4 linked regions of the Sus scrofa genome follow. The protein of the gene in region 1 purifies or fractionates together with the protein of each later gene. This does not show direct contact. Links are inferred from orthologs where the notes say so. Each region holds a gene or a part of one and is shown in the gene's direction. Other genes may lie near its edges.

Region 1 (5,898 bases):
ATTTCCACGGAAAACAGTTTTGTAGCGATGTAGTACTCTGCCCTGCACATTTTGACGATCCAACTGCAGATGGAATCAGTATTAGCCATCTTGAGTATCCTTGGATTTTGTCAGGGGAGAATTGATTTAGACTGACTAGGTGGGCCTCTAATAATAATCTCTTTCAGCTCTTTAAGTTTCTGTAATCTGTATAAATACAAAATAAGGGCATGTAATATATTTTTCTGAATAATCAAAGTCAGTTATTTGGCTTTGGACTATATTAGATTTTTGATCTACATCGTCTTTAAACCTAGCTTCCATCCCTGCTGTGCTGTTGGAAGTTTTGAGTACTGATAGTTGTCAGAGGAAAGAGGAAAATATAATGATTAATCCACAAAGTGTATGTTAGTTGATTATATGCCAATTATTCTCATTTTTTAAATCCTTCAGGTAATCTAGTAATAGAGAGTAAACCAGCTCCTGGTTATACTCCTAATGTTGTAGTTGGGCAAGTTCCTCCAGGAACAAACCACATTAGTAAAACCCCTGGGCAGATTAACTTAGCACAGCTTCGACTTCAGCACATGCAACAACAAGTGTATGCACAGAAGCATCAGCAGTTGCAACAGATGAGGATGCAGCAACCACCTGCACCTGTACCAACAACAACAGCAACAACACAGCAGCACCCTAGACAAGCAGCCCCTCAGATGTTACAACAACAGGTAAGCATTATATCATATTATTGATATAAATTACCCTCTGTCCTATACAGATAAGTTACACATTTCAAAGTTACTAACAAAGACGGGGCTCAGAGGTCAGTTTAAATATTTGCTTTGGGTATGGCAGGGATGTGGGGGAAGGTGTGAGGAAGGACAAGAATTAAATACTTACAGTGGGAAACAAAATATAACTCACCAGTACTAGGGAGGCATAAACATTTTTATCCCTCCATACCAGATCTTTTTTGTTTTACACATGTGGTTTTTGGGCCAAAGAGCCGTGTTGTTTCAGCTTAAGATCTGGTTTCTCTACTCATTTGTTCAAATCACTCCCATCCCTGCATGTCTTCTACCCCCTCTCCCATCCAAATCAAATTATTAATCCAGGGTTAAGTTAATGCTGATAGGCTTTAAAACACACCCAACCATTGAGGAGTTCCCATTATGGCTCAGTGGTTAACGAATCCGACTAGGAGCCATGAGGTTGTGGGTTTGATTCCTGGCCTCGCTTAGTGGGTTGAGAATCCGGCATTGCCGTGAGCTGTGGTGTAGGTCACAGACACATCTTGGATCCCATGTTGCTGTGGCTGTGGCGTAGGCCGGCAGCTACAGCTCCGATTTGACCCCTAGCCTGGGAACCTCCACATGCCACGGGGGTGGTCCTAGAAAAGACAAAAAGACAAAAAAAAAAAAAAAAAACCCAAAAACAAAAAACACACATATACTGAGAGGAGGAGATTAGGGTTAGAGATGAGAATGTCTTTCACTTTTTACTTGATGCTCTTCTATCTTAAATTATTTTTACCATAATATTTTATAATTGAAAAGTAAATTTATGAATATTATTACATAAATGCAATTTCTACTTTTCGTAGCCTCCAAGATTGATCAGTGTGCAAGCAATGCAAAGAGGCAACATGAACTGTGGAGCTTTCCAGGCCCATCAGATGAGATTGGCTCAGAATGCTGCCCGAATACCAGGGTTACCCAGGCACAGTGGCCCTCAGTATTCCATGATGCAGCCACACCTCCAAAGACAAGTATGCCTAGAGTTACATTTGTAAGAATCATACAATTTTAAAACTAAAAGACAACAGTTTTCTGAATCAGTGGCGGTGGGGGGGGGTGGTCATTGATAACTTTAAGAATTTGATTAATGCTATGTATCTTCTTGACCCAGAAAAATACATGTAAAATTTGTATTAAATTTGAAGTTTCTTTGATGTCGTTAAACCCATTATATACTTTAGATTGAAAAATCCCTGATCTAATCCAACCAGTTCATTTTACAGTGAAAAACAAAGGAGCTTGTTATGTACCCACAGTCTTAAGAGATAATGGTAAAATCAAAATTAAAGCTTTAGTTTCCTAGAGTTTCTGTTGTGGCTCAGTGGTAACAAACCCAACTGATATCCATGAGGAATCGGGTTCAGTCCCTGGCCTCGCTTAGTGCGTTAAGGATCCGGCGTTGCCATGAGTTGCAGTGTAGGTTGCAGACATGGCTCAGATCCTACATTGCTGTGGCTGTGGCTGGCAGCAGCAGCTCTGATTTGACCTCTAGCCTGGGAACTTCCATATGCCATAGGTGTGGCCCTAAAAAGCAAAAAAACCAAAACGAAATAAAACAAAAAAACCTTTAGTTTCCTTTGAAATTGTTCCTTTGCTCTTTTAATGTGACATTTTGAACCTAATATATGAAAAGGACTTGGAAAAAAATAGAGCCATGCTGTCTATAATTTTTTTTCCACCTCTTTGCTCAGTATTCTTTCTTTTAGGATGGATATGCCTATTCTTAAAAATAAGTATGTTTTAGAGCCATGTTTTCTAATCTTTGCTTGAAATAGTAGATGATATTTTTATGGAGGTATGATTATAAAAATGAAGCTACTTTAGGCTTTCTAGTTATGAAGGAAATAAAGGTCATTTTATACTTTGTTAGAGTGATGTTTCTCAAAGCATGGTTTAAATACCGTTAGAGTGTCTATGACTTCTTGTCAGAAGCAGATTCTGAACTATATTCGTTGAATCATAATTTCCAGGAGGGGAATACTTAGAAATATGTTAACTTTTACTGACTCAGATCCTCAATATACGTACTAAAATTGGACAAATACTGTCCTAAGCATTAGTCTTTCAACTTTTGGCCCAGTTACCTCTGGGAAGTCTTGAAAAATACACACTCCCTCATATTTGAATGTTGACATTTAAAACTTCCATTACAAGTTTAAGTGTAAATAGTTGCAAAGGACATATTGTCTAGCATATTGTAAATATTAACATTATAAAATAAAACCTTTACATTTTTCTTGTAAATAGATCCGCTGGAGTCCCAAATACTGTAGTAAGTTCTTTTTTGAAAATCAAAATTTTATATTCCCGTTTCTCCTTGGCCTTGAATTTCTCTTTGCTTTTACAGAATTTTATCTTAATAAATATATTTGATAGATTTATGAATCAGTTTATTGCAATTTTCTGCTGGAAGGATTCTATTTCAATTTAAAAATTCTTAAATTTCTGGTTGATAATGCTATTATTAAGCTTTAAACTTTTTCTTTAGACCAAATTTTTTATTATAGTTATTCCTACACAGTTGTTTAAAGAAGAAAAATATGTTTACATGGTTTAAGAAAATTAGGAAACAAAAAATAAATTCCTTTAGGTATGTATTTCTTTATGAGATAGATGGAATCTTTTCTACTTCCTCTTTATTTATGCGTGTTTGTATGTCTGTTACCTTGTATTATTAGAGTAAAAGGCAGAATTCAACATCGATCTTTTTTTTTTTTTTTTTTTGCTTTTAGGGCCACTCTCGCAGCCTATGGAAGTTCCCAGGCCAGGGGTCAAATTGGAGCTACAGCTGCTGGCCTATGCCACAGTAATAGGGGATCCAAGCCATGTTCCACTCCACCACAACGGGAACTCCCAGCATTGGTCTTTATTACTAGTTTTTCTGTTTTCATGTGATGTGTGGGAAACTTTTTCACAAAAATTTGTGTCGGGGAATTCAAAACTATTTAAAAAACCTTTATCATCTGACAGCTACTTCAGGTCTTGCCTCATTTTTGTTTATCACCTACAATCAGAACCCACTCAAAGATTTGTTACCCAGGTTTTGGAGCCAGTAACTGTGCCAACAACTTGGCACTTCTATTTCCTTCTGTACCTTTGCCTGTCTCTCCAGAAGGGTTTTTGTTTTTGTTTTTTTCCTGGGACAGTATGCTCGATAAGATTAGGAATGGATTAAAGATGTATGGAGTTCCCGTCGTGGCGCAGTGGTTAACGAATCCGACTAGGAACCATGAGGTTGCGGGTTCGGTCCCTGCCCTTGCTCAGTGGGTTAACGATCCGGCGTTGCCGTGAGCTGTGGTGTAGGTTGCAGACGAGGCTCGGGTCCCACGTTGCTGTGGCTCTGGCGTAGGCCGGTGGCTACAGCTCTGATTCAACCCCTAGCCTGGGAACCTCCATATGCCGCGGGAGCGGCCCAAGAAATAGCAACAACAACAACAAAAAAAGACAAAAGACAAAAAAAAAAAAAAAAAAAAGATGTACTGTATTGTATTTTGGTTTTGGAGAAGGGCAGTTGTGAAAGAAGTAGTTGAAGAAAACAACTTAGAAACCATGGCACATTCTTAGGTATAGGTACATCAGGTTCTTTTTCAGAAAAAAGTACCTGTGAAGGTTGACTCTCTGGACTTTAATTTCCTTAAAAGTGTTCACATATACCTGTACCTCTTAGTACATGGAAAGCCTTCAGCTATCACCCGGGGCAGGTTCACCTTCAGAAGAGTGCAGAAGCTACAGAATCTGAGCAACCAACAATCTCAGCACATTGTCCTGAGACTTTGGGGCCCCTATAGAAATCACTGGATGTTAGAATTTTAAGTTTTTAAATATTTCATATGGTTTATATGTGTATAGTAATTTATTTCCCAACTATTTCCATCTATATATTAAATGATCCTTGTAAACACTCCCTTAAAGACCAGCATCCATTTTCATTCGTCATTATCCCTATTTCTAAATTGCCGAGATAGTGTTTTGGCCTAAAGAAACATGGCATTAGAGTCAGAAATAGATGCCATGTTTCCATTTGTAATTCATTGTTCTTTCTACTATATTAGTTACATAATACACAATTAATTGTTGCATTTTATAAAAGATAAAAAAGTCAAGGTGAAATATAGACAGAATAGTGGCTTTCCTGGGCTGATGTTTGAAAACTTTAGTGATATATAAATCATCTATTTATATATATATCTTTGTTCTGAAGTAAAATCATATCGCCAGGCTGACAAGGTACGATTATTGGCAAGCCTGTTTTTTCTAAATACTATACAAAAATGAATAGAAAAATGAAAAAGCTAGGTTTGATTTTCTTTCTTTTTTTTCCTGAGTAAGTTTGAGAAGGCCTACTTCTTTATCGCTCAGCCACAGAGAAACACTGAACTTCTGTATCCTTTCTAAGCTAAAGATTGTTGTCAAAGTAAAGGTCATGTTAGGATATCCTGGCAGATCAAGTAACGATCACATCTTCTTTTCTAACAGCACTCAAACCCGGGGCATGCTGGACCCTTTCCTGTTGTGTCGGTGCACAACAACCCAGTCAATCCAACCAGCCCTACTACAGCTACCATGGCAAATGCAAATCGAGGTCCCACCAGCCCGTCTGTTACAGCAATAGAACTAATTCCCTCAGTGACCAATCCAGAAAACCTTCCATCGCTTCCAGATATTCCACCCATACAGGTTTGTATTTGAGTCAAATGAGAGTTTAAAACCTGTTAATAGGGAGCTAGAGTATTTATTTCTGGTTGGGTGTGAGGGGTTTTTTTGTTTATTTTTAATTCAGGAGCAACTTTTTTGGGGGGGGGGAATTTCCAAAGAGAGTGTGAATATTTGAATTTTTAAAAGTTATGTGTGCTAAAACTAGCACTTCTCAATATTTTAAAGTTACAGGGTGTCAGCTTTGCCAATCTTCCAAACCTCGTGTTGAATGAAGCACTTCTGTTATAAATTTAACTCGGTGGGGGGGGGGGCACCCAGGGCCAAGATACAGTCAAATTTTTGTCAGTCTTCTGTTAAGTCCAAAAGGGGTAGTCAGCCTCTGGTGCAGACAGGTTGGACTGAGAAAAGGAGCGATTGGAAGGTCTAGTAGCAGGCGTGTTGAGGGGTTTACTGAGAGAGGAAGTGA
Region 2 (5,321 bases), on another chromosome or scaffold:
TTCTTTCAATGATGTTTTGTAGTTTTCATTGTACAAGTTTTGTACTACTTTTGTTAGATTTATTCCTAAGTATTTTTTATTTCATTTGTAAATGAAATTATTTTCTTAATTTCATCTATGGATTGTTCTAGTGTCTTTTTAATGGAGTGATATTCATACTTTGTTACTTCATTTTTGCTTCTCAAAGATCCATCAGTCTCAAATAATTCTACAAGTAAAAAGAAACCTGAGTCTACTACTTGCTGTTTAGCCAGAGATGCAAGCAAGGCTGGAAATGACTGTGATGCTGCAGCTTCATCTCCACTTCTTGTCAAAGATGTCATTTGTGAGGATGATAAGGGAAAAATCATGGAAGAAGTAATGAGAACTTATGTAAAACAACAGGAAAAACTGAACTCAATTTTGCAGAAGAAGCAACAACTTCAGATGGTAAAATTGTTGTCTAAATTATAGTCCATTATGAAAAGATACTTTTGCATATTTTTAGCAAAAGTCAAGATGAGATGGTGCAAATGCATTTAAGATTATTGTTTTACATTCATAAGAAAGATTAATATACTTTTAAATTTTTAGAGAAAATAGTTTTTCAGGATAATCACTTTTATATAGAATTGATATAACTGATTTTTTTTTTTTTTTTTTTTTTTTTTTTTTTGTCTTTTGCCATTTCTGGGGCCGCTCCCGTGGCATATGGAGGTTCCCAGGCTAGGGGTCGCATCAGAGCTGTAGCCGCTGGCCTACACCAGAGCCACAGCAACGTGGGATCCAAGCCGTGTCTGCGACCTACACCACAGTTCACGGCAATGCCGGATCCTTAACCCACTGAGCAAGGGCAGGGACCGAACCCACCACCTCATGTTTCCTAGTCGGATTCGTTAGCCACTGCGCCACAACGGGAAATCTGATATAACTGAATTTTATATATTTTCTGTCCTCTTTTTTCCTGAATTGAAAACTTTAACATGATGAAATAAAGTAAAAATTGTATTGTGATTCTTTAAATTACAGGAAGTTGAAATGTTGAGTAGTTCAAAAGCTATGAAGGAACTCACTGAAGAACAGCAGAATTTACAGAAAGAGCTTGAATCTTTGCAGAATGAACATGCTCAAAGAATGGAAGAATTTTACGTTGAACAGAAAGATTTAGAGAAAAAATTAGAGCAGGTAATGAAGCAAAAATGTACCTGTGACTCAAATTTAGAAAAAGATAAAGAGGCTGAATATGCAGCACAGGTAAGAATTACTCAGTTTGTGTAGTGTTGCCCTTTCAATGTGGAAATTGAAGCTGTTACTTTTTCCATTAAAGAAATTACTTTTTGTCAAGCTCATTTCATTAGGCTAGATTTCAAAATAGATAATTCTGTTAAATATAACTTTATGCCATATCATCCAAGATTTTTTATTTTTTTAACACAAATTTATTTCTCACAGTTCTGGAGACTGGAAGTCTAGGATCAGGGCACCAGGAGGTTTCATGTTTGGGAAGAACCCATTTTCTGGTTTATAGATGAAGTCTTCTCACTATGTTTTTATCTGTGGAAGGGGCCAGGGATCTCTGGGAGGTCTCTTTTTTCTTTTTTTTTGGCTTTTTAGGGTCACACCTATGGCATATGGAATTTCTCAGGCTAGGGGTCCAGCGGGAGCTACAGCTGCTGGCCTATGCCACAGCCACAGCAATGTGGGATGTGAGCTGTTTCTGTAACCTATACCACAGCTCACTACAATGCTGGATCCTAACCCACTGAGCAAGGCCAGAGATAGAACTCTTGTCCTCATGGATACTAGTCAGATTCATTTCCACTTCGCCACAACAGGAATTCCTTTCAAGATGAGTTTTTGACCTTGATTGCTTTATTACTTTAAATAAAACTTTATTGGGTTTCTGTAGTTTAGTTGTCCAAATTGCTAATCCCTAGCTGTCTGAATATCAAATGTAATGTTATTTTAATGTAGTATATGGGCTTTCAAATCAATGAATTTACGAACATGAACTGTTGTCCGCCGTGTTCATAAGCACTGGAACAAAAATGAGTAGTAGCTGTCAACTTGGAGAAGATGAACAAACAACTCTTAGACTGAGTAGGCTGCGATGAGAGGTGTACTCAAGTGTAGGGCATAATGAAAGTGCTCTAGGTGTTCAGTTCTCTTGACTCTGTTTTTCCCTCATTTTAAGGTAATGTCAAAGTCAGATTAAAATATTAGATATTCATGTGTTTGTAGCATGCATGAAATAGTTCATTTTGTAAAAAGTAATTTGAAAGTAGGTTTTGTCATGATATGAGGAATAAATGGAAAAAAAAAAAAAACAACCGAATGAGAACTGACACAGTCTTTTAAATCACACAGCTGGCAGAACTGAGACAGAGGTTGGACCACGCTGAGGCTGACAGGCAAGAGCTCCAAGATGAACTTAGACAGGAACGGGAGGCAAGACAGAAGTTAGAGATGATGATAAAAGAGCTAAAGCTGCAAATTTTGAAATCATCAAAGACTGCTAAAGAATAGAAATCTTTAAAGAGATTCATCTGTGTGTTCCCAACAGGGTTTATTTTTGTTTATTTGTTTGCTTTGCTAATTGAATTCTGAACAGTTTATCTGCATGAAAATAACTATCCATTTGTAGAGCAGAGAAAGTAAAGAGATTATATATTAGTACATAAATTTTTACATTTTCCAAATGATTGAAAATGTGTTTCTTTATACTTTTTTTCAACCAGCTTAGTAACAATACTCTACGGTTTCAACTGTCAGATTATCTGACTATATTTCTAATGCAAATTTAGCAGTTGCATACTTTTTAAAAGCTGCATCGTGTGATGTACAATAATTGTGGTCAACTTTGTTATCCATATTTCAGACTCAATTTTAGATACAAAGGTGGCTTCATATTTCATATATAGAGCTACTCAAGGAGTAGAATCTCCATTTTTTCATTAACATAATCTCCTTTCTAAGTTGTTATAGTATACTCATTATTATAATCAAAATTTGCTTTTATTTTGTTCATATTGTGGAATGAATTTCCACTAGTTCTCTGCTATTGAGTGTCTCTTAAGAGACATCTTGTCAGTAGGGGAATTTCACTGATGAGTTTATAGCACACCCTGTGGGAAAGGATAACATGCTTTCTTACATACTGCTGCTAAATACAAGAAGCAGTTAAAATTAGACTTTCTGTTTAAATGTGGTTATATTTAGAAAAAACTTTTATTCAGCAAATTCAGAAGAGGGAATAAAATGTAATACTTTTGGACTTTGTTTATGTTGTTAATAGTGGTATGAAAATATTAATGTACTTGATAAAAACTGATACCATTGATATACATCAGTTTCTATACAATCCATAATCTTCCTGTACAGTTTTTATATGTAGCTGTGGGTCTTACTGAAATTTATATGACAGATTTGTTTTCCTTTCATTGTAAAATATTAAACACTTTGAAGGTTATTTTGGACTTTTGTATGTTTAAATGTTGTCTTAACCAAAATTTGCACGAATGGACCATTTTCAGTTACTATTTAATATCAAAATCAGAAATTTACAGTCAGCTGGTAGTATATGACAGGTTAATATAGGGAAGTTTAGTTATCTGCTACTAAAAGGTTTTTAGATAATTTTTAGAAGACAGGAATTCCATAGTTTGGCGGGGGAGGGGCAACTACTTCTGCACTTTTCTTTTTTTTAATTTGCACAGAAAAGCCTGTCATTCTTTAAGGGCAAATTTCATATTAGTTAATTCTTGGCTTAAAAGATTCTAGGTAAAATTCTTAGAATGGCATTTTTTAAAGAAAGTTTCCTGAAGCTACCATTAATTGACATTATTATCCCATGAATTTTATGTTTTGTTCTTGTGTAAGGTACTATATAAAATTACTTGAGAGCTAAATTTATTTTTAAATAAATTAGTTAGGATTAAGGTTATTTACTATTCCCATCATAGATGATAGATACTTAGTATAGAACTTCAAAAATAAGTAGGTTATCATTTAACCAGTTATTTTCATATTTTGCTTAATGGTACTTACATATCCTAAAAGAATTTTTGTACTTCCCAAAGTATAGTTTCTTTACTAGAGTATGGTCTAAATGTGTATTTTCTATTTTCCATTTAAATTTTACTGTATTTACCCTGAAATTTAATTTGTTGATTCTTGGAATCTCCTCAAGGAGGAAGACATGTTAAAATGACATACAGAAACAAAAATTAAAAACGATATACCCTCCTAATACCTTTTATTTATCTCGATCTGGAGAAAGAAAAATCACAAAGACATTTTATGATACAGTTTCATTTTAGTTGTGAATTAGTTGTGTCATAGCTAAGCTTTTTGGAAGATAAAACTCAAGCCCTTATAGTTTCATTTATTTTTCAAATTTACTCAAAATCTACTATGTTACTTAGTTTAAATGATAAGCTTACTTAAGTTTCAACTCAAAGATTCTAAAATAAATTGCTTAATCTTTGAAATATTTAAAAAATTTGAGCAATGCTTAATCACCTTTAAGTCATCATAAACTCTAATTGAGTAAAGAACTATTTTTTCTAGTCCTTCACATAAGGGAAACTTGCCACATGATATTATATAGTCTTCATTTTCCTGAAGATACATTGGTGTGCCATAGGTTTCTGTCTAACTTCTTTGAAAATAGTTTTTTAAGTCAATTGTAAATATTATGCCTATTCTAGTTAAAAGTAATTTTAAGTTAAACTGTACCACATAGCTTGAAAATAGAGAGACTTTGAAATTCTTTACAAGTGTCCTCTGCTTAAAATACCTTATCCATATAATTATTCTCTATCCTTTGCATGCTCATTTTGTGTGTTGGTTGCTAGCTTAAAGTTTGTTTCATTGTTAGTTTTTGTGTACCACAATTCATCAAGCAAACAGATTTTTCCCTCAGACTTCATTATTCTTTTTCAGAAACATATAAAAATATTCACTTTAAAAAGCTGCGTTAAAGGAACGGCCTATCAGAAGTGCTAGAGCACCTTTAAAAGGAAGAAAAGATGAAATAATAGTTTACTGAGTGATGAGTGGAGTTTAATTTGGGTGATTATAGTTTCTATACTCTAAATGTTTTGAGAAAAAGGTACTAAATCACATATAGTAAACGTACAACCTGCTGTCAATGAGGAAACTCTAACCAACCCTGATTTCACAAATGCAACTTGTAACACTATGAAAGGATTTGACCAACAGCGTAAGTTTGGCTTGTGCTTTAGTTTTTTAAAGCGTATTCTTATGCTTAAATTTCTGTGTCCAGGAAAGTTCAGATGTTTTATGCTTCTTAAACTAATTTTATAACATTTAATATATTA
Region 3 (6,534 bases), on another chromosome or scaffold:
ACGAACCCGACTAGGAACCATGAGGTTGCAGGTTTGATCCCTGGCCTCACTCAGTGGATTAAGGATCGGGCATTGCCATGAGCTGTGGTGTAGGTTGCAGATGCAGCTGGGATCTGATGTTGCTGTGGCTGTGGTGTAGGCTGGCATCTACAGCTCTGATTTGACCCCTGGCCTGGGAACTTCCATGTGCCATGGGTGAGGCCCTTAGACCAAAAAAAAAGAAAAAAGTCTGTCTGATAATCCCAAAATATAGACCCTCTTTGATGTGATTATATTAGTACTTCATCTTTGACTGTGGTTTGCTACTCTCTCTGTCTTGTAATTTTTGACTGGATGCTGAACATTTTTGTAAAACCAGAAAATGGACCATCATTTCTCCTGGGGCTGTGTCAGTAAGATGTGTGTGTAGTTAAGCTGGTTCTAGGCTTCTTTGCAACTTCAGTTGGATTAATTCAAGTGTTTTGAGAGTGGGATTAAGATTCCTTCTTCAAGCTTTGTTGTTTTAGTGTGATTTCAGTTACTTCCTTATGCTTTATCTCTGAGCCATCAGCTCTTTGAACTGTGGGTGGTTTCTCAGCTTTACAGCCCAGCTGCTGGTCCCTTGGCATTCTGGAGCCTCCTCCTCCCCCATCCTCCTGCTCTTTTCTTTCTTTTTTGCCACACCCACGGCATAAAAAAGGTCCTGGGTTTGAGATGAACCCAAGCCACAGCAGTGACAACACTGGGTCCTTAACCCACTGAGCCACCAGGGAACTCTACTCTGGAGTTCCTTTTGCTCTCTAGTCCTGCCCCGGGATTTTGTGCCTATGAGATAGATACCTTCCAGAGTTTCTCTCAGCAGTCCTTTCCTACCCCAGCCTTGGTAGTCAATTTCCAGAGTGTCTGCTCTAAGGTTTTGTCTCAGCTCTTCTGCACCACCTCAGCCCTTGGCAGCTGCATGTCTATAGTCTCTTGGATTGATTTCTTTTACCTCCCCTCACTCCCTTCCCTGGTCAGAGGACAGATTCCTTGCGTTTGAGGAAGACCCCAAGCTTCTTAGGGTATCTCCCATCTTTTCAGCCCTGTCCATCAACCTTTGGAATATTTTGGCCAGCACTTGGTGAGGGCCTGTGGGGTTGAGTAGTTGAGGTCATAGCCTTGCTCTGGGGAACCCTTTGAATTCTAATATATCATGTCAGCCTACATGTTGCTATTAAATGTCTTAAAAGTTTAGGCTGATTTCTCCTTACCCTCATCATGGTGGGATCATTCCTTCTTGGTTGCTCCACTAGGAAAGAGACCATCTGTGGGCCCCTCTCCTATCAAAATTCAACACTTTCTGGAATTTAGTTACATTTAGCTTATTACTTTGCATCTTTAACTTTTAGACGGGTTCAGAAAAACCATGATTTTATAGTTTATCTGTCTTGTTTTGTTTGTTAGGGTGAAAGTGATGGTCTCTTGTGATTTGCTACATCCTGTTTAGAAGTGGAACTCCTTCATGGAATACTTTCTGATATATAGTCTGGCAAATACCTGATAAAATTTATCTGACCTCACTCAGTTTGATTTTCTACAGTATTTCTCAGAGCTGCATTTCTAAATCTTTTCCATTCTTCTCAAATCTAAACTCTCTAGTTCTGCCCTCAGTGGTAAATGTTCTTATCTCTTACTTTGAGATTAAAGCTGTTGACATTAAATTTTAATTGAGGGACTTGGTAGAGAGAGTAGGAAGAATTTATGGTAGGTGCTTAGAAAACTAGGCAGATGAAAAACTGACATAATTAGCTCTGGAGAAAAAGAAAGAGATGTACAAAAAAGGAAACAGGATTATATAGTAGTTTACTACTAATCTCTTCAGGTATAAAACTACAGTTGGAAGATAATTATTTTCAGGGCTGGAGGAAAAGCAAGTGATTGTGGTGTAAATCTTCATTTTCAATAGGTATATTTAACTTGATACTTCAAGGGGGACCATTGCTTAGGTATAAATAGCAAGAGTAAAGGTTCAAAGATTTTAAAGAGTTGTACCTTGGTGTGGGGAGAAGAGCTTTATTTGACTTTATCCACTATGTGGGTTGTTACTTAGATAGAGAAAAAAATATTTTTAAAATGAAGCTTAATTAAAAGTCTTCTCAAAGTGAACCACATCTCTTCCTCACAGTCTCTCGTTACCTTTACTTCTGGTTGTTTACTTCACACTTGATGCCTTTCTCCTTTCCCCTTGTTATGACCTTAGACTTTACTTTATGATAGTTATGAAAGTTTAAAACTTCGGGGAGATTGGCCCTGTAAATTAAAAAAATGTATTTTTGTTAAGTGTCTTGAGAATAGACTGAAATTCTAAAAACATAAGGAAAACTTTGTTTTAGTGAAAATATTTTATTGCTACTATTAAAAGGTAAAAATATAGTAGTATGGGTAGTGATTAATGGTCCAGTGTTGATAAAGATAAAAAAATTTTCTGTCTTGCAAAATTGTTCTCTTGGCCCACTTATCATTGTCTTGTTTTTAGAAGGATTTGTTTCCACAGTTCATTTAAATTCGTGAAGACTTGTCATGGGTGAAAAAGATAACTTCTGAAAGTCTGTTCTGAAAGTAATAATTTGAATTTCTTATCTCATTTTGTAATTTGCTTTTGCTCCTGTGTTGAAAGCAGTAGTTGATGGTAAAGTTAGCCTCTCAACTGTCCTTTCCATATCTTTTCTAGGTTAGATTAAGGAGGATATTTTCTTAGTGTGGACCGCTGCCTTTGGTAAGAACATGTCGTCCATCTTGCCATTCACTCCGCCAGTTGTGAAGAGACTGCTGGGATGGAAGAAGTCAGCTGGTGGATCTGGAGGAGCAGGTGGAGGAGAGCAGAATGGACAGGAAGAGAAGTGGTGTGAGAAAGCAGTTAAAAGTTTGGTGAAGAAGCTAAAGAAAACAGGACGATTAGATGAGCTTGAGAAAGCCATCACCACTCAAAATTGTAATACTAAATGTGTTACCATACCAAGGTAAGTGTGGTTAGGTCAGAAACTTGATGGCCATCCTGTTGAAAATTGCTTAAAGGAATCTGCAGGAAAGTTACTGAAATTTTGTTACATGCAATTCACCTGTCAATAGTGATTATTAAAATATGAAATCTATTTCTAACCTGTCATATTAATTTTGTTGGACACGATAAGACTTGTTTATTTTATAAATCCTTTTCTTGAACAGCGAGAAAGTTTAATCAAGCAAAATAAAATACTTAGATTTTACTAAGGTTTATCTTCACTGTCTTCATTTGCCTTCATTGCCTAAATGCTTCATTGTATGTTATCCTAATTTTTGTGATTGAGTGACATTTGAATAAAGATTCAAAGATTTTTGTATCACTAGTGCAGTAGTGACTGACAGTTTCCTGCTCCTCTGGTCAAAACTTCAGTAAGGAGTTAACAGAGGCTGCTAACATTGTGACGAGTTATGGCTTTTGTTTGAGTTGCAGCATTATTTCTAAGAAAGAACAGTATATGAGGCAGCTTCTTAGGTGCCATAGTCAGATCCTGTCTTGAAGACCTGCCTCGTATAAGAGAAGGACCTGTTACCTAAGAGGTTGAAGTTTTATTAGTATAAATTTAATCATTTACAGATCATTACCACTGTCAGAAATTCTGGTTTTTCAAATAGCATAACGAGTAGTTTTTAAGTGTTGTAGTGTACACTACTGTAGTTGTGCACATTGCAGGGTTATGGGGAGTGTGAGTTTATAGCATTTTCTAAAATGATTGTTTGCAGTGCCATACACATAGGCTAGCATATGGCACATGAAACCATTCTACTTGACATGTTTCTAATGAGTTTTGGGAAATAACTCTGGATGCTTGTGATAATAGCTCCCAGTGACACCAGCCTTTCTTTCTTGCAGATACTAACTAGAATGTTTCCTGCCTTGTTTTGTTTGGTAATAAAACAAAATTACCGATTACTTTCCATTTCTTTTACCTTGTTTCATGTATTTCTTTTTTTTTTTTAACTTTTATTTTTATTTTTTTGCTTTTTAGGGCCACACCCATGGCATATAGAGGTTCCCAGGCTAGGGATCGAATTGAAGCTGTAGCCACTGGCCTGTGTCACAGCCACAGCAACGCCGGATCTGAGCCGCATCTGCAACCTACACCACAGCTCACAGCAATGCTGGATCCTTAACCCACTGAGCGAGGTCAGGGATCAAAACTATATCCTCATGGATGCTAGTCAGATTCGTTTCCACTGAGCCACAATGGGAACTCCTTGTTTCAGGTATTTCTTAAGTAAGGGTCACTTTTCTTGGTTTATTCTTTTGTTTTAGAAATGCTTATGGATGCCTTCCGTGTGAAAGGCACTGGTTTTAGGCATATGGGACACAGCATGGATGAAATGCGGAGTTCCTGCCCTCCTGAGGGACAGATACACACTGTAAACAAGTGGACAAATTAATGTAATTTGAGATGGTAATGAGGACAAAAGACAGTGACTGAAGGATTAAAAAGCTGCTTTGGATTGGATTGTGACACTTAAGCTAAACTTGGAGAAGTAGCAGGTAGCTGAAGGAAGTCTTCTAGGCAGAGGAAGGGGCAAGCATACAGACGCCAGGGTGGGACATAGCTTGTCGTATTGGAGACTTAATGGATCGAAGTAGAGATGCAGTAACACCAAATGAGCACAAGGCTTGGGAGGAGTCAGATTAGATGGGGCATCAGGAGGCGGTTTGGATTTTAGTCCCAGTACAATAGGAAGCAAATGAAGATTTTTAAAGTGGATTTTTAAATTTAAGTAAATTTTAGAAGAAATTTTTATCTTTATATCTTAGATCACTCTGGCTGCTGGAGACAAGAGGGTGTGGATAGTGGAGTGTGTGGGCATGTGTGTTATAGACTGGTGTGGTATAGTGGTGTGGACGCAGAGGAATGAGGCGACTGTTAAAGTAATCCAGAATGGAGATGCCAGAGGCTAGGCTGGGCTGGCGAGGTGGTGGTAACTCGGGAAGTGGATGAATCTGGTTGGAAGCTGAACTGACAGGATTTGCTAATGAATTGGCTAGGAATAAGTCAGGCCATATTTGTTGATTTTTCATTGTATAGTGTCTGATGTTTCAGTTCAGTAAACATTTAGAAACATAAAAGTCTTTGCTCTTGAGTTGCTTACTTTCTAGAAAGGAAGATAAACTTTAAAAAAGAAGAAAGATAATTTCATAACATCCAGGGGTTGTTCTGAAAGATGTATGCTTAGGGACCTATGTCCAAAGAGGGGGAGCCTTCCCTACTCCATGCTGTGTGGAAAGTTTCCTGCTGGAGAAAGATTGATGCCTGGGTTGAGTGGATGTCAAGGAGGACTTTTCAGGAGAAGCTGAATCCCTCCAGAGAGGCTCTGTGGTATTGAGGGTGGCAGTTGGCCAGAACTGGTGAAGGGTGTCCTGGGAGTTGGAGGTGGCATATGGCAGGAGCGAGAGGCTGTGTGGGTGTGAGGAGCCCCCACATCCTGCACTTAGGGGTTCACCCTGAACCCCAGCGTGGTTGGGTGAGAGTGGAGTCCTCGGTGTTAGGTAAAGAAGACTCCTGAGTTGGGTTAGTTTACATACAGCATCTGACTGCAGTGAGGAAATGGTTGTGAGCCTGTCAAGAGTAGAGGCAGGGAGACTGGTTAGTATGTGGTCTCCCTCCTCAAAGGGTGTCATGTGATTCCTGGGGGACATGGAGCCGTGTTTTTGCACAGCTTCATCTAAGACTCCAGCTGCCAGTGCAGTGAGGTCATTGAAGGAACAGGGCTGAGGGTATAACCATGCAGTCCTGTCTTTTAAGAAGATGCAGTAGGCAGCCACCTCATGACGTGGATATTTGTGGATGTGGATATTTAAACTGTGGAAGTCACCTTAGTCAAAATTCTTTTCCTTATTTTTCCATTATTCATTTTACAGTCTATTTTTTAGAGGTTTTTTTTTAAATATTCTAATGCTTTTTCATCATTTAAAATTTATTTTCCTACACTTTTTCATTCTTTAAAGATTTTTTTTCCTGCACTTTTACCTGAGTAATGAAAGTGAATTGGTTATCAACCATTATCTTCTTCATTCTTCAAAGTTCCTTGAAGCTTAGAAACTTGTTTGTCTCATGTGGTGGTCTTTTTTATATTGCAAGAAATAAAGATTTGTTCATTTAGGTTGTTGTCTCTAAAAAAATTTAAGTTTCTTACACTGTAGTTTGGAGCCATATATATATGTTTGCTTTTAATAGTAGAACAGTTATATCAGATTATTAGTCATTCCTTAACTATTAAATGTCCTTAAACATTCAGTCATCTCTTAAGCATGGGGGATGGTTGGGGAAAGGGTCCATTAGTGGAGGAATACAAACTACAGCTTAAGCAAAATTATTTAAGATATAATACAAACTGGATTTACTATAAGCTTATTAACTTAAAATTGCAAGTAAGTTGTTAATAAAATACCTTATGGTTTTACAAACCTAAAAACACCAAAAAATTCAGTTGATGAACGTAAAATGTAAATTACTTAATTTTTAAAATGGCAAATATTTTCTGTTAAAATAGCTG
Region 4 (5,963 bases), on another chromosome or scaffold:
ATTGCAGGTAGAGACTGGTTTTGGAAGAAGAAGACACCCAAAGATAGCCTAACTTCAGCATGACCATTATTATGTAGACCTTAGAGCTGTTTCTTCCTGGGTACCCAGTGTCTTTTTCCACCTTATGTTTCCTCTATTGCAACAGGGAGGAAGGTCACTCCCACGTCTTAGAAGAGGAACAGGAGGCATGATGAAGTCCCTGGGTTCAGATCCCTGGGGCTGCAGGGCAAGGACGTGATCCAGCATTTTGCCCTTCTGACCCTCTGGCACATGCCCCACTTTCAGCACCTTCCAGAAGGACTCAGGAAATGTGCCTGCAGCAAGAACAGCTGCCACTGTAGCTGCAGGTTGGCATCTGTGGCATATGGACCCCATTTGGAGTGATGGAGATTTTTAGGGAAAAAATAGTTGTGGCACCTTAACACACACTCCACGATGCATGACAGCAACGGGATGATAGACAGTCTTCCCTTTTTACATTATTCAGTCTCCACCGGCTCACCACAGATGTGCCTCCTCGATTTTTCTTTGTCCTCAAATCACCCATTCAAGTTCAGATGCTATGAAGAAAGCATCATGTTACTAATGAAACATTTATAGCAAGAAAGGCCCCTACTTGTGCATTTTCAAAACCTGACCAGGCATAACCATAGGGAATTCATAATTCCAAGTTTAACTTATTTGGTTCTACAAGTTTTTTCTAATTGTTAAACCTATATTAAATTTTACCTATAATGTTATATTAAAGTGTATTATATGTTATATTTTATACCTGTGTTCAGTTGGTTTTAAATGTTTGAGTGATTTCTGATTGGATTTTTTAATCAAAGAAATGAAGCAACTCACTATTGTTTAGTAGATTTAATTAAATTGTGAAGGATTGCCATGTTTTGGAAAAAGTGTATTAACAGTCTTCACTTTGGATATCATTAGGTCATAAAATTACACTACAATTATATTTATACAGGACAGCGTGGCTTGGCTGGCGCTGAGAAACACCCAGACATGCCGTTGTGTGGCATGGAGTGACATCTTGTGCTAGAAGCTGAATACATAAGCTCCTTGGCTGTCATGGGATGATTTGAAACACATAAACAGGTATCTGGCCACATCTCCTGATGTCATTCTGCATGTGGGAAAGATCTTCCTGTCCACAACTAGGGCTCCATTAATCTGCATGCCTGGTGAGCATAGGGTGGGAAAGCCAGCTTGCAGGAAAGTCCCCAAGAGAACAACAACAAAAAAATCACTATAAGCAAAGAAGAGGTCTGACTCAAATACAGTGTGGGGCAGAATCCCTGGTTTACCCTCACTTCTGTCCCTAACCAGGTACAGGTGCTTCCTGGGAAGGAGAAAGCTGTGTGGTAAAACTGGCCATTGTTTCCCCAAGAGCCCAAGCCACGCTGCTGGGAGACTTCCCTCCAGGAGTTCTGGGTGCCTGAGTGGAGGCGTCTCCCCACCTGCTAGAGTGGTGAGGTGCCAGAGCCCCAGAGCACTCTGAAAGCAGCTGCTTCTCACTTTTCCAGTGGGGCAGTCCCACCACGTGGCTTCAGGAGGGAACCGGCTCTGGAGACACAGGCGGGGGCTGGGGTGCTGTCCTGAGATACTAACTGCTCACCTTGGGTCAGGTGTGGAGACCTAACAGAAAGAGCCGAGTTCTGGCCACTGGGCAGTAAGGGTTATTGTTCCAGAAGCCTCTGATGCTGCTGTTGGAATGACCCAGCACCCATTCACTGGTGGGTTATCAGTTGAGAAGCACATCCAGGATCTTCTCAATCCTAAGGCAGTCTCTATTGGCCCCACAAACTGATCCGGTACCCACACTTAGAGCGAGTCAATATCTGGGACCATGGCGCGGGCACTGTTGGAGGACTGGTGTAGAATCATGAGTGCAGATGATCAGAAATCACTGATGGTTATGGGGATACCGGTGGACTGTGATGAGGCTGAGATTCAGGAGGTCCTCCAGGAGACTTTAAAGTCGCTGGGCAGGTACAGACTGCTCGGCAAAATATTCCGGAAGCAGGAGAACGCCAACGCTGTGCTGTTAGAGTTTCTGGAGGATACCGATGTCTCCATGATCCCCAATGAGATTCAAGGAAAAGGGGGTATTTGGAAAGTGATCTTTAAGACCCCTAACCAGGACACTGAATTTCTTGAGAGACTGAACCTCTTTCTAGAAAAAGAGGGCCAGACGGTCTCAGGAATGTTCCGAGCGTTGGGGCATGAGGGATTGTCTCCAGCGGCAGTGCCCTGTGTCTCACCGGAATTATTGGCCCATTTGTTGGGACAGGCAATAGCGCACGCCCCCCAGCCTCTGCTCCCGATGAGGTACCGGAAACTGAGAGTGTTTTCCGGGAGCGCGGTGCCAGCCCCAGAGGAAGAGCCCTTTGAAATCTGGTTGGAACAGGCCACCGAGATAGTCAAAGAGTGGCCGGTTGCAGAGGCAGAAAAGAAAAGGTGGTTGATGGAAAGCCTCCGTGGCCCTGCCCTGGACCTCATGCACATCGTACAGGCAGACAACCCGTCCATAAGTGTGGAGGAGTGTCTGGAGGCTTTTAAGCAAGTGTTTGGAAGCCTGGAGAGCCGCAGGACCTCCCAGGTGAAATACCTGAAGACCTATCAGGAGGAAGGAGAGAAAGTCTCGGCCTACGTGTTACGGTTAGAAACTCTGCTGCGGAGAGCGGTGGAGAAGCGGGCCATCCCGAGGAATATCGCCGATCAGGTCCGCTTGGAGCAAGTCATGGCCGGGGCGAGCCTCAGCGAAATCCTCTGGTGTAGGCTGAGGGAGCTGAAAGATCAGGGGCCGCCTCCCAGCTTCCTGGAGTTGATGAAGGTGATCCGCGAGGAAGAAGAGGAAGAGGCCGCCTTCGAAAACGAGAATATTGAAGAGCCGGATGAAGGGGATGGCTATGGCCACTGGGATCTTGAGGCGGATGAGTAAAGCCCATCCCAGAGGGGGACCCACAGCCGGCAGGGTAGGGCCTCTGCCTTACCAGGCTAAGACCTTTTCAGATATTTTTTCTCCTTTAATGTATGCATTTGAAATGACAGCATTTGAGCCAGATCTTGATTCTTCCTTCCTTCCTTCCTTGATTCTTCTTTCTAAGAAAACATATCTGAGTGTTTCTTGGCCCCTACATAGATTTTAACAGACTGGCATTTACCAACAGGCTCTTCTTTGTTTTCAGGTTGACTTATTTTGTGCAGATGTTGGAAGAAAAGTTCTCTTGCAATATCTGAGCACATATCCAAACTTACTTTAACTTTCCATAGATTAAGGAAGCCATAGCACCTCATGGGTATTTAAATCAGACCTGTGCTTGTTCTATGATGTGAAGTGTGTTTCAGGTATAAACGAGCATCATTCAGTTAAATGCTAGGCAAGGTTCCAACACAACTGATATATAGCATCATAGCAGCTTTGTATATACAATAAACAAGTGGCTTAACTTTTCTAAACATCTGTTTCTGCATCAGAAAGAAATGGGAAGATAATAGAATAGGGTTATTGGTAGGATCAAATGGCATCATGCCTTTTAAGCACTTAGCATGAAGTCTGGAACATAGAAAGCCCTCAATGCATTGAGACTCTTTTTATTTATTTTCACAGTGCTTGTTGTCTGGTAAGTGCATGCTCTCTTTCTTGTTCTAACAGTCCTGCACTAACAAGTAAATATATAATCTGTCAGTCAATTTGTGACAACTTTGCATTAGAAACCATTTTAGCACTTGTGGTAAGTTCGAACGTTTGTTGTCTATTACGTTTCTGATAAAATTGCCAGCAATTGTTGACTATTACTAGTGATGATAACAAATAAATTCTTTCTGATCATGGATAATTTTAACTGAAGAACATCCTGGGGATGTTAGAAAAGCATTTTTTTAAGAAAGAAGATACCCTATGTGATCATTTATCTTTCTAAGTTATATTTTTCAATACTGTTCAATCAAGATGCTAAAACTCATCCAATACACCCTGATTTTATGCATTTTTTTTGTATTCATGAACATGGCCTCATTGTTCTCATGAATTGACACTATACAAAGTAAAATGTTATAAATGTGAAGTTGTAAAATAAATACCTGCTGATAATATTCTGAGTTTTTTCTGCTTCATGTATTGTGGTTCTGTACAAACCATCGCCTAAATAGGGCATTTCATTACTAAAAAAATTTTTTGAGAGGTAAGATTAGAAAATCAAGCTAAAGCCCAAAGGTCTTAAACTCTTTGAGAGAGAAAAAAACCTGAGAGCAAAATGCTGGAATCAGGAGTACTTGGGCTTTGTCTCCAAGGATGAGTGAGAGCTCAGCCCATCCTTCATTGATTTCTCCTTTAAAATATAAGAAATGACAGATGGAGGCCAGTTTCCTCAGAGACCTCCCACTCCTTTGCCTAGACAAGTAACTGTACAGAGGCATTCACCAGCCTCTATTCTGCCAAGAGTCAAATGACCTAAAGGTGAAATACTACATTTCTTGGTTGGAGTCATTTTTCACTATATGGATGTATAGAGGGGAAAAAACTTCTCCTGCCTTTGGCCCTCTTGAAATAGCTTCTCTTCCTCTTTCCTAGGGTGCTATGGGGGAACATTCCTCAAGAGCTGTCCATAGTAGACTGACCCACTCCAAGGGTCTGGATCACTTGAGCAAAACCTGCTGGGAGATTGGTCTCACTTTGTACTAAATGTGTTTCCAGTCCTGACCCTTGGAGACTGAGGCTTCCAGGATCACATAGTCCACTGCTGAAGTTACCTCTGCACCAGGGTCCACCTGCCTCTTCAGGTCTTAAGTATCCCCTACCTCTCCACCTATACCAGCTAGTCCTGGCAAGCCTCTCATGCTGTTGTCCATCCTAAACACAAGACTGTCTGCATTTACTCTCATGTCCTCACTACACTGTGCTTCCTCCCCAATCCTCATCCCTAAGGCCCTCCTATGTGCCTACTGGCTGGTCTGAGAGGTCCTAAACAAACTAGCCTATGTCATCGGAGTCCTCGCAGAATTCTCTCTCACCACGTTCCTTGAACTCTGGTCCTCCTGGTCGTCTCTTGCCATCAAATTCTTTGAGTGGAAGCTGCTCAGTCTCCCCGACCTCAGGAGTGATTGGAGAGTGGTAATGTCACTTCTTTCATTCGCCATCGTCACTTCCCCCCTTGCAAACACATTTGCTCCCTCCTGGCACGTGCTCACCCACTCTGCTCCACCACCCGCTATGGACCAGTCCTAACAAACCTGGACAGAGCACTAGCAATGAGCCAGTGTGGCAGGGAAAGGGGGGGCATTTACAACTGAATCTGGGAGTTCCCATCATGGCACAGCGGAAACGAATCCTACTAGGAACCATGAGGTTGTGGATTTGATCCTTGGCCTTGCCCAGTAGGTTAAGGATCCAGCGTTGCCGTGAGCTGTGGTATAGGTCACAGATGAGGCTTGGATCTGGCATTACTGTGGCTGTGGCGTAGGCTGGCAGCTACGGCTCCAATTTGACCCCTAGCCTGGGAACCTCCATGTGCTTTGGGTGAGGCCCTGAAAAGACTAATAATAATAATAATACCAATAGTAATAATAAACTGAATCTGCCTGGATATTATCTAAGGAACAAAAAAAACAAGAAAAAGATCATGACGACAAGCCATGCCCAAAGGGAGACCTACAGACAAGACCAGGGGAGCCAGGAGGATTGGAAGGTAGAGTTTTGAAAGAGTGGAGCCTGAGATGAAACACACCAGTAAGAGGATGTGAGACAGGTGTTGTCAAAGTGATGCAGGCTTTGGTTTTTGTTGACCAGCAGGGTAAACTCTAGAGAGTCTAAAGGCCCAGGATGAGGGCAGACATCTCTCCTATCCCCATCTGACTGAGTGGGCCAGGAACTCCTTGAGTTCTCCAGGGAAGACATAGCCCTCATCCAGAAGCTCTCTTTGGATAGAAGATGCTGTCCTTAGATGGGTTTCTCAGAAGCT

What was found.
Region 2: the proteins of TRIM33 (region 1) and SKIL purify together in Homo sapiens (affinity purification with western blotting; 4 studies listed by BioGRID and IntAct, with this or other methods). This does not show direct contact. The link is inferred for Sus scrofa from reciprocal best matches to the Homo sapiens genes TRIM33 and SKIL.
Region 3: the proteins of TRIM33 (region 1) and SMAD2 purify together in Homo sapiens (affinity purification with western blotting; 7 studies listed by BioGRID and IntAct, with this or other methods). This does not show direct contact. The link is inferred for Sus scrofa from reciprocal best matches to the Homo sapiens genes TRIM33 and SMAD2.
Region 4: the proteins of TRIM33 (region 1) and PNMA2 purify together in Homo sapiens (affinity purification with mass spectrometry; 3 studies listed by BioGRID and IntAct, with this or other methods). This does not show direct contact. The link is inferred for Sus scrofa from reciprocal best matches to the Homo sapiens genes TRIM33 and PNMA2.

Annotation. Positions count from the first base shown.
Region 1 is NC_010446.5:106,161,144-106,167,041, forward strand, and holds part of TRIM33 (E3 ubiquitin-protein ligase TRIM33), read left to right. Parts: intron 1-432; coding exon 433-707; intron 708-1,582; coding exon 1,583-1,747; intron 1,748-5,252; coding exon 5,253-5,453; intron 5,454-5,898. UniProt on the Homo sapiens protein: Acts as an E3 ubiquitin-protein ligase. Promotes SMAD4 ubiquitination, nuclear exclusion and degradation via the ubiquitin proteasome pathway. According to PubMed:16751102, does not promote a decrease in the level of endogenous SMAD4.
Region 2 is NC_010455.5:109,052,399-109,057,719, forward strand, and holds part of SKIL (ski-like protein), read left to right. Parts: intron 1-187; coding exon 188-429; intron 430-1,008; coding exon 1,009-1,233; intron 1,234-2,346; coding exon 2,347-2,505; 3' UTR 2,506-5,321. UniProt on the Homo sapiens protein: May have regulatory role in cell division or differentiation in response to extracellular signals.
Region 3 is NC_010443.5:97,480,431-97,486,964, reverse strand, and holds the start of SMAD2 (mothers against decapentaplegic homolog 2), read left to right. Parts: upstream 1-2,741; 5' UTR 2,742-2,742; coding exon 2,743-2,978; intron 2,979-6,534. UniProt on the Homo sapiens protein: Receptor-regulated SMAD (R-SMAD) that is an intracellular signal transducer and transcriptional modulator activated by TGF-beta (transforming growth factor) and activin type 1 receptor kinases.
Region 4 is NC_010456.5:10,420,462-10,426,424, reverse strand, and holds the end of PNMA2 (paraneoplastic antigen Ma2), read left to right. Parts: intron 1-145; exon of another isoform or gene 146-347; intron 348-967; 5' UTR 968-1,098; exon of another isoform or gene 1,099-1,329; 5' UTR 1,330-1,849; coding exon 1,850-2,944; 3' UTR 2,945-4,100; downstream 4,101-5,963.